Arabidopsis thaliana: one gene and its partner. The protein of the gene in region 2 purifies or fractionates together with the protein of the main gene of each other region. This does not show direct contact. Each region holds a gene or a part of one and is shown on either strand. Other genes may lie near its edges.

The links.
Region 1: the proteins of Cpn60beta3 (region 2) and PAF1 fractionate together in Arabidopsis thaliana (co-fractionation; one large-scale study listed by BioGRID). This does not show direct contact.

The regions. Positions count from the first base shown.
Region 1 is NC_003076.8:17,158,423-17,162,908, forward strand, and holds PAF1 (proteasome alpha subunit F1), read right to left. Parts: upstream 2,735-4,486; 5' UTR 2,554-2,734; coding exon 2,203-2,553; intron 1,334-2,202; coding exon 848-1,333; 3' UTR 622-847; downstream 1-621.
Region 2 is NC_003076.8:22,871,898-22,878,212, reverse strand, and holds Cpn60beta3 (TCP-1/cpn60 chaperonin family protein), read right to left. Parts: upstream 4,546-6,315; 5' UTR 4,342-4,545; exon of another isoform or gene 4,305-4,341; intron 4,169-4,304; 5' UTR 4,156-4,168; coding exon 3,952-4,155; intron 3,877-3,951; coding exon 3,751-3,876; intron 3,663-3,750; coding exon 3,525-3,662; intron 3,436-3,524; coding exon 3,340-3,435; intron 3,252-3,339; coding exon 3,009-3,251; intron 2,921-3,008; coding exon 2,686-2,920; intron 2,586-2,685; coding exon 2,416-2,585; intron 2,339-2,415; coding exon 2,261-2,338; intron 2,174-2,260; coding exon 2,102-2,173; intron 2,022-2,101; coding exon 1,917-2,021; intron 1,817-1,916; coding exon 1,724-1,816; intron 1,645-1,723; coding exon 1,552-1,644; intron 1,476-1,551; coding exon 1,349-1,475; intron 1,261-1,348; coding exon 1,247-1,260; 3' UTR 806-1,246; downstream 1-805. Other genes in the region: GulLO4 (D-arabinono-1,4-lactone oxidase family protein), read right to left, coding at 4,793-5,508, 5,593-5,694, 5,791-6,315. UniProt on the Arabidopsis thaliana protein: Involved in protein assisted folding.

The DNA of each region.
Region 1 (4,486 bases), 5.7 Mb from region 2:
GTTCCTATGTTCTTGATAGAAACGGTTGACAATGATTATCGTTCAAACCCTGTTGTAATGTAGGATAATCTTACAACGAGACACCTGAACCCGTAAAAGATCTTGTGTTTTCCAATTGCCTTAAACGATTTGACGTAGTTTCGTATGTTTAATTCACAATGTCTTTTGACACCGAAAACATGACTGTTCGTTGTTAATTCAATTTTATATGATCCACTAGCTCTTAGATGCAATGATAAACTCTTGATCATTTTTTTTTCCTTTGATGGTTAATTTGGTGTATATACGAGAACGGATGCTGGATAAAGCAAATGATTAAGAGAGACGGCAAAGTCAATGGGTCTGGTTTACATGGTTCCCATTATCCAAAGTCTTTCGTAGTCGTCACCATGTAGGGGGCCACTTATGTTTTCTATTAGACTAAATGACGTCGAGCTAATGATTTTATCATAATTTACGATTTAACATTAAATTCTGGAGTTCTTTGGGTTAACAAATTTTAGATTAACCTTCGAAGGAAACTTGAGGCTGGTCAATTTTTTTGTTAAAACCCTCTGCAGGGCAGGCCTAACAAGGCTGGCTTGGCCTGCTTGACAGCCCTAGTTAGATGACACTACACACTTTTTTAGCAAGGAATTGCAGAACCAAAGAGATAGGAAGTCGTGAACAGATTTCAGATTTAAACCAAAAGACCAGAATACGAGAAAGTCTTGATGGCAGCTATTGAGTTTAAATGACGAAATGGTTTCAACTTCTCAAGCATATAATCTAAACCCGCAGCCATTTTGCAAAGTAAAAATCCAACTAACATCGAAATAAAATAGTTCCAGCGTTACACACACAAGCCTTACATTTCCATTGGAGCCACGTCTTGGTCACCTGCAACACCACCACCTCGTTCTGCTGGTGCAGCCTCGGCAGCTTCGGCCTCACCCTCACCAGCCTCGCCTTCTCCTTCCTCTTCCTCTGGCACTTTCTCAAATGTGTCGATCACTTTCTGTATTGCTTCCTGGTCCAGGAAGTGGAACGGTTCATCGACTCCTAGAATAGCGACTGTGCAGAGAGAACTCTTCAGTGTTTCCCCTTGCAATGTCTCCCTAACAGCCAAAATAGCATCTTTGATCAGATCTTCTCTAGAAGAATCCCCAAAGCTCTCAAACCTGCGTTCCAGATAGGTCTTTGCTGCTTGGGAACGGGATCCAATAGCAAAAGCTTGGTACTCGAAGTAGTTTCCGCTGGGACAGTTGTAGTAAAGGTGGGCTCCAGACTCATCCAATCCACCTACCAGCAAACCAACACCATAGGGTCGTTTCCATGATCGTTGGGTACAGACCTGTTCATAAAGGCAAACATACACATAAATATTTCCTTTTCCAGATCAAGAAATATAACAAAAAAAACCCTTGGTAAAGACAAGAAATATGACAATAATGTAACTTAAGTTGGACCTGTCAAGTAAAATCTCTCCTACAAAAGAGTAAACCAACTAATAAAGTTTGACAATGAGGAAATACAAGACCCTTCCTTTTATAAACACATATAATATATGGGAGCTCTTCCCAATGGCTTTGAAAAGTATTTATGCAGATGTGGATAAAACAGCTAACTTAAGAAACCATTAGATAGGTGGAAAAACAAAGTGAGAAGTAGCACATAATTACAGAAAAGATGTCGAACAAGCACCTAGCAGGAGTAATTGACTGGTAAGATAAGTGCATAGTGGTGAGAACGATGCAAAACAAAGAGCGGAATTCACTTCTTAGAGGTACTGAAAATCAATAACTCCAAATAAAAACTGCAGAAACAAGCAAAAGCACCAGAAGAAACACAAATCTCTTTCTTTTAGAATCCTATTGTTAAGCTCTTAGTTATGGTTAAACTTTTAAATACAAGATTATGCAGCAGTAACAACAAACATGCAAACAATTTCACTAAACAAGATTCAAGTTTCTGCTATGATAAATTAAGAAAACTCTTATTTAATGCAATTTAGAATCCTAATCAGCTCAGATCAAACCCTAAGCACAAAGTCAAGAAGCTAATGGCTAAATTTGAGCTCAGTGATTCACAGTGTAATCGAATTCCAAATTCCTCAAATTTCAATTAACAATTACAACACACTTATCACCGAATCACACAAAACCAAGCGTAATCGATTCCAAATTCCACCAAATCTCAATCAACAAACTACAAAAGCCTAACCTGAGCTTTATCAGCAAGATGAACAACGAGACGACCAACAGGAAGAGGAGACTCATAAGTAAAAGAGTGATTAATCGATTCCGATCTCATATACCGAGACAATACACGACCGTCGGCTGTGAGACCAGCGATTGCAACACCGATATGGTCATCGACTTTAAAGATCTTCCTCTGATGCGAAGAAAGCTCCGATTGAGCTTTGTTAACACAAGCGAGAACGACATGAGAACGAGATCTGAGTCCAATTGCTGCAGATCCTTGCTTCACTGCTTCCATGGCGTATTCCACTTGGAATAAACGACCTGTTGGACTCCATGTCGTAACATCTGTGTCGTATTGGTTTCTGAACATCTTTGCTTCTTCGTCTCGCTTTCTTCTTCACTCGTCGTCGAAAGGGTTTATAGAGACGAAAGTTCAGAAACAAAACTTTTCTTTTCCTTCAAGCCATGGATGCTCTCGATCTCTCTCTCGATTTAATGGGCTTCTATTAAATTCTGGGCTTTGTATTGGCTCGGTATCTAGCTTATTGGGCTAAGACTTTAGGCATATGTTTTATACAGACTTTAGGCCTATGTTTTTATACAGGATAATCCTTGTATATTCTTTTTTTTTTTTTTGATGAAATGTGAAATTGTTTAAGAATCTTTAAATATGTACAAAAGAGTTTGGTCAATAGTTCTCAGTAAAAAAAAAAACATTAGACAAAACAGAGCACACTAGCTTGAATATTCTTGTATATTATTTGAAACTAAATAAAAATGAATTAATTTTATAAATATAAAACTTTGCGATTTTGTTATTAGTAATCATATAATTTGAATTGTTACAAAAAAAAAGTCTCTGTGATTGATCCTATTTAAAATTTTAGAACATTTATCATTTTTAAAATTGATATCTTAAAATTAATTTATTGTATATTTCTAAACTTTTATGACAGCTGAAAAGTCATACATTTTTAGTTTTGACGAATATAGTGATGAAGTAGATCATAACATGTGCTTGTACAACACTAATAGAATTTTGATTTTTAAATATTTATTTAAATTTGAATTATTATTTGTTTTATAATATAGTTTTAATCATTTTATACATAATATAGAAGTGGATTGGTAACGATTGTTATTTTCGACTATTATTATCAACTGTATGATAATTAATCGTTGAGTCTTTAAGAATATCGCGAAAGTTCATATTGTCTCATACAAGAAGATTAACAAAAGCATATTCAGTTTAGCTCAAGTTCCTTAAACTGGAATCACAGATGACTAGGGGATTGAATTTTGTAGCATCGATAAAAACTTAACTACTCAGATTTTTGTTGTAGCCACAAAATCAATCACCCAATGAGATCAAGTTCCTTTACCTCCACAAACAAAGCTCTACAACTAAGCTTTTGTATTGTTATAACGTAGTTTCTAGTCTATGTATGTTAGATCAAGTAAATAAATTCAGCACTTTTGTGGTTTTATCTCCCTAAGATCAGTTACTAGTTCATGACGCTAACTAGCTACATGCAATAAGAACAAACCTAGAACGAAAAACTTCTAAAAACAAGCTATTTTAAAATCGTCACTTACCTTATTCAATTATGAAATCTCCTTTGATGAAACTTTTAAACCCAACTAACAAACTAGTAATAATAATAAAAAATTAATTTAACTATTAAATCTAATTTGCCACTAAAAGAAAATTATGTATCGGTTTGAGTTTATTAGAAAAAATGAGAGTTTAGATTTTATGATTAAACGAGGTTAAATATCGGTTTGGGTTTACAAAATACGATTAGGGTTTAGATTTTATGATTATACGATGTTAAATATTAGTTTGGGCTTATAAACATATTTAGATTTTACAATTAAACTAGGTTAAATGTCGGTTTGGGTTTAGAAAATACGATTATGGTTTGTTTTTTAACGATTAAATAAGTCTAAATGGCGGTTTGGGTTTATAAAGGAGAATTAGGGCTTAGATTTGGTAATTAAACGAGATTATATATCGGTTTGGATTTACAAAAAAGTGGGGTTTTAATGATTTATTTTAATTATTTTATTTTGATAATATTAATTGTTTTAAGTTTTTTTAATCAAATAACATGGCAAATATTGATTTGTTATTAAAGAGGGGGTGAATAAATTAGGTTCACCCCCTAGAAGTGAACCCAAGAATTATTCTTTATTTGATATTTGATGATTTGTTTTCAAAATTTTAATTTATTTATTATATAGATTAGTTAAAGTTAGCATATACTATGATTTATAACGTTTTTATATGTTTTCACTTATAA
Region 2 (6,315 bases):
AACGATTAAATTCGTTTAAATAGAAGAAAATATGTGGCTAGAATCGTTTCATGTCTTTGCAAAACTAGTATAACTTTACTTGCAGTTTTTAAAGTATGATTAACTTTGAAAATGCTCTTAAAAGTGTATAATTTTTTTTCCCATCAAATCTTTTTGGTAGGTTGAACAAGAAAACAAAAGTTAGTAAGGAAATTTCAAGGAAGACAACTAAGTAGCTATCTCTTGCGTTTGCGTAGGTTCATCATCAACTTTAAAACTCTAAATTTGGTTTACAAAAAAAAAGTTATGAACAAACCCGAAAAAACAACAAAAGGTTACGAAAGAGTGTGTGTCAGAGACTCAGAGTTATAGTGGAACCCACTCGAAGCTTTTAAAGTAAGATTGACTTTGAAAATGCTCTTAGAAAATTTCTCTCCTCGATTATTACTTTGTATATATTGAAGAATAAACCAAAAAGTTGTAAAGAAATTACTAGGAAGATCACTTACTTTACTATCTTTCTTCAGTTTGCTGACAACTCTGAAACTCAACTAATGTGGTTTTATAAAAAAAAAAGATCGATGAACGAACAAGAAATAAAGATTATGATGTGGATTGTTAGTATAAGCACTAGAAATGGTTGATTTTTACAAATTCTCCAAATTTCATATATATAAAAACATATCATCAATAATAGTTCTGTTAAATTTAGTATAGATCATACAAAATGAAAAAAACTTCTCAGCTTTACAGATGTTTACTTGGTAGTCTTTTTAATTAATGTTTGGGGAACATTTTAAAGTTTTAAAGTAATAGACAATATACTCCACATTATGTCATAGTCTATGCTCAGGTAAAGAGAATTGTTGAACTAATTAAATAGATTACAATTTTAAAGTATCAAGATATTGGCTATGGAGGCCACAAAAAACCACAAACAAAGTAGTAATTTAGTATTGTGCTTGGTTGTTGGCTTGTTGCTGCTCATGATTTTGTGCATATCCTCGTTCGTTTTAATTTGAAATAAAGAAAATGATACTAACTAAATCAAGTCTATTGAGCACTGCAAACTGTGTCTCTTTAGTGAAGTTGTCATATTGAAAAACTTGATCTTGAATCGGAGAACACAGAACCAAATTATATGTTTCTTCAGGTCACTGGAAAAACATATAATTTACATTGGCTTAAAGAAGTTTCAGATCAGGAAGTGAAGAACTTGGTCGTGGCTTTTGCTTCATCAGGGACTACTCTGTTCTCAATTGCCAACTTAGAAGCCGTAACCTGAAAACCGACAGAGAAATTTTGTAAGAATAAAGTTGCAGATTTTGTTAATGATTCAGAGGATTCAAGAAGAAGAACTAAGAGATACCTGAATTGTCCATAGGGTTACCAGCAGGAGCTGCTGATTCAGGCTCCTTGATCTCCACAACAACACAATCAGACATCAAGAATGTCTTTGCCACAGATGAAGCATGCTCTAGGCAACATCTCACAACCTTGAAAAGAAGAAAACTCGGTTAGCACCCGAAACAGCAGATTTCAATATGTGAAAAAGTAAGGAACTTTGCTCACTTTGGTTGGATCAATGATTCCTGCAGCCATGAGATCTTCGTATTTGCCAGTTGCAGCATTGTAACCATGTTTAGGGTTGTCACTAGAAAGAACCTGTCAACCGAAAAAAGCCATTGACTTAGTTTCTATATCAAAAGACTCAAACTTGCATTCTTTTAAGGAGATTGATTACCTTCTCACTGACAACGCTGCCATTGACACCAGCGTTCTTGGCGATTAACTTCAGTGGGTAGCTCAATGCTTTCTTAACAATGTCAGCTCCAACCTGGAGGTTAAGATGAATTGTAAAATGGCGTTATAACCCGCAGACGGCAAACTCCTCATTCATGTTATCTTTCTCTGCTGTGCAACTCTTCTGGACTAACCTTTTCTTCATCGTTTGCTAGAGTCTCTTTAATAGCGTCCACTTTCGATGCAAGTCTTAGCAGAGTACATCCTCCGCCAACAACAATACCTTCTTCCACAGCAGCCTAATTAAAAGGTCCAACAACTTAGTCTCTACCATATGGATGGAAACATTTCAAGGCTCTTTGCTTAGAGATGATGTTACCTTTGTAGCATTAAGAGCATCTTCAACTCTTAATTTCTTCTCCTTAAGCTCTGTCTCAGTTTGTGCTCCAACCTAAAGAATATAAAACGTTTAGATTATTCTTCTTATTACCTTAAGCTACGCTTTTTGCATCATGTGATTTGTTTCTTAGTATCTCACCTGAATTACAGCAACACCGCCTGATAATTTAGCAATTCTCTCATTAAGCTTTTCCTTTTCATAGTCTTGTTCAGCAGCCTACACAAACCCAAAGACTTAATCACCGTAACATAAAACCAATTTATTGGGACATTTCAATGTTTTTTGAGATGTACCTCGATAAGATTCTTGATCTGTTCAACTCTCTTCTTCACAACTTCTTCAGTACTTCCATCACCAACTATCGTTGTAGTATCTTTTGTGAGAACCACTTTACCAGCATTACCCAAAACTTCTGGTCCAACTTTCTCCAACTGAAGTCCAACTTCTTCCCTAATCACAGTAGCTACAAAGAGAAAAACAAACACAGCAACTTGAGAAACTAAACATGCTTTTTTTTAATATAGAAGCAATAATGTAAAGAACACTTAGTATATTGGTCTAACCTCCTGTAAGCGCAGCAATGTCATCAAGGTACTGGCTTTTCCTCTCTCCAAATCCAGGAGCTTTCAAAGCAGCAACTTTTATTGTCCCACGAAGCTTGTTAACAACAAGAGTCGCTAATGGCTCTTGCTCAATATCTTCAGCAATGATCAAAAGCGGGTATCCACCTTTAATCGCATCTTCCAGAATGCTAATAATATCTCTAGCATTTGTTATCTTTTTGTCAACAAGAAACAACTACAAAAGCAAGAAGAGACATATAGTCAAAAAATACTGCGGTTTTTTATCAGCTATTAAGATTTAACTGTATAAACAATAATAATACCTTGCAGTTCTCATATTCTGCACACATTTTCTCACTGTCGGTGACAAAGTAAGGAGAGATATAACCACGATCAAATTGCATTCCTTCAACAACGTAAAGGCTGTTCTCAGCGCTTTTGCCTTCCTCTAGAGTGACAACACCTTTACGACCAACTTTTGCCATTGCTTCTGCAATCATATTGCCTACTTCGTAATTGTTTCCTGCACTAACTGCTGCAACATCTGCTAGTTCACTGTCTTCAACCTGCAATCCAGAAAAGAGCTACATGATCAAGAATCCTCTAAAGCACATGAAAAGAGCTAGATTAAGAATCTAATTAAGTCAACAATACCTCCTTTGACATTTTCTTCAACTCAGCCACAAGAGCTTTGGTGGTTTTCTCAATACCTCTGGTAATCAAAACAGGATTTGCACCAGCAGCTACCACCTACACAATTCAATCCACATCATATCACAACAACAACAAAAAACACTGGTTGTTTCAAATTCACAAAAGAAAGACAATAAATTACAAACCTTTACACCTTCAGCAATAAGACCTTGAGCAAGAACAACAGAAGTCGTTGTTCCATCACCAGCTAAGTCATTAGTCTTGGAAGCAGCTTGTCTCACTAGCTTAGCACCAATGTTCTCAACTGGATCCTCAAGCTCAACCTAAACAAACAGCAAAAGCTTTTCAAAATCTACAAATCGATTTCACACCTGATTACACATTAGACACAACAAGAGATAACACCGTTACCTCTCTAGCGACCGTAACACCATCATTAACGATTCTAGGGGAACCGTATTTGCTCTCTAGAACAACATTCCTGCCTTTAGGACCTAAAGTAACCCCAACTAAATCCGCAAGTTTATTCACACCAGCCTACATAATGAAATGATATAAGTTATTCAATAAAGAACTAGAAGTCACAAAATCACCGAAATAGAATAGACTCACTTGAAGCTTCTTAATCGCAGTCCCGTCCTTATTGAAATGCAATTGCTTAGCCGCATATATTTTAGGAAACCTTGCTTTCCTCTGAGCAATACTCTGAGTCCTTCCAAAAGAGCTTGATGAGATCGAAACAAAAGATGACAATCGATTCGAAGGAGGAGCCAAAGATGAACCCATTGACGACGTTGCGCTAAAGGTTGATGCCATGGTTTTTCACTCTCTGCAAAAACAGATCAAAATCAAAACTTTATAGCTTGAATGAATCTAATAAACCCTAAAGACACAAATCAAAGTAAAACTTTGTAATCATCGACACAAATCAAAACAAGGGTATCTGAAAGCAAACAACTTTTTACCTAAACTTTGATCGAAATGATTCAACTATACACTTACTTAGAAGCTAGCGATCAAGAGATGGTTCAAGGGTTTTAGCGACTGAGAGAGGTTTTCTTGTGAAGAAGATGAAAGTCGATTTATGCGATTGTAAAGTTATGATTTTTGTTTAATTTATTCGATACAAAGTGTGTTTGGTTGCATAGTGCAAACGGACTGGTGAAGTTCGAGGATCGCGTCTTCAAAGGTTTCAGGTTAAGTCTGAGCCGTTGGATCAACTGAATTTGGAAGAATCTGGAACACTTAAACCCTAAACCCACCTACTCTACTCTCTTCACGTGCGAGTGACACTTTGATTAACTACTCATTGTTTGACACGTGTCACGAATTCAATACAACGTCGTTTTCGCTTGTCAATTATGAACAGAGACTGCTCTGTTCTCTTAAAGCAGAGAGAGGAATGAGGTTTTTGATATATAACAGAACTGAGGACCAAAACTTTGATTAGGATTTAGGAACTTACACGAGTACAAACTCTAGCTTCTCTATAAACTTTACCTGGTCTACATAAATAACCTTTGGTAGGAGCACAATGAGAATCCTCTGAACAAATACATAGTCCCTCCAATGCACATCCTTGTTTCACAATCGTCACGTTTCCTTTTAAACCTAGAATCTGATCAGTCCATTCAGTGGAAAACAATCCTAAAGAATCAAATTTCTCTTTTACTTTTAAAAACGCGTTTGCGTTCTTGTATTTTCTAATGGCACCATCAAACGCTAGGTTCCTATTCTTCCCCCAATGTGGTAACGCATTGTATTTGAATATCGCCATTTGCTCGATTTCTTCAATGTAATCCTCGTATAGACGCGGTGCCAATGGATCATTTTTGCTTCTGTAGTAAGTTAGGTCAAAATCTAAAGCTTTTTCTTCTTTTCCGAGAAATGCTAGAGAGGATGTGACATAGCGGATGAGAATACCGTTGCTGCCTTCAAGTACGCATAAAGATTTCGGTTCGATCTTCACAAGTGCTTTGATGTCGTTGATGAAACTTTTGACATTTGTGAGAGAAACACTGAATGTTGTTTGGTGAAAGAATTGGCCTTTTATCCGTGGATCCCATGGACAAGCCGTGATTAGTCCGTCTTGACGACTGTCTAGACATGAACCTGACGACATCATATGGTTTTGCATTCCGATGACCGGATAGCCTGTGAATATTAGGCCTGTCCATGGAAATTACTAGTGAAAGTTTTGTATAATCTTATATCGAAACAATCAACAAATGTATAAGCAAGTAAAAGAAATACCGTTATTAGTCACACCGTATGACATTAAAAACATAGACGACGATACTAGCTTTGCCCTCACACACTTCATGTTTGCATCTTCAAGTGACTCTTCACTCTCCTCTGCATGACATGAAGCAAAAGTATATATATAAGAAACATTATAGCTATGCAAATCAAAAATATTGGTATTAATTATCTTGAGAAATAAAGATTTACCTAAGGATCTATCTATGGCTAACACTAAAGAGAGTTGTGAACGGAATGGGAAAAATTCGAACAAGCCATCTCCCGAAGTATTAAGCGGAACTCGGCCATCCATGCGATACACCACTTTTCCTTGGCTCGGTAACCATAAGAAATCCGCAAACTCGTGTCTTTCGCCAAAACTCACTGCTTGATCTCCGAAATCCGAATCGTTTCTCATAACATAATTTAACGATCTTTTGAACATTGGTTGCAATTCGAAAGTTACTTGAGAGATAACACCAAGAACACCTAGAGAAACTTTGGCTGCGCGAAATTCCTCCGGATCTATAGTCTCGCTAAGAACCTGAACCTTTACATACCCATCAGAAGCCAAACCGGGACTCACCAATCTTATCTCGGTCACGTAATCATGAACCGCACTTCCTTTACCCCATAAAGAACTTCCGTGAGCACCTGTCCCCATCATTCCTCCAACCGTAAGTCCCCACCAATACGGTGCGTATGGCAAAGCCAGATCAAACTTAGCTGCTTCTT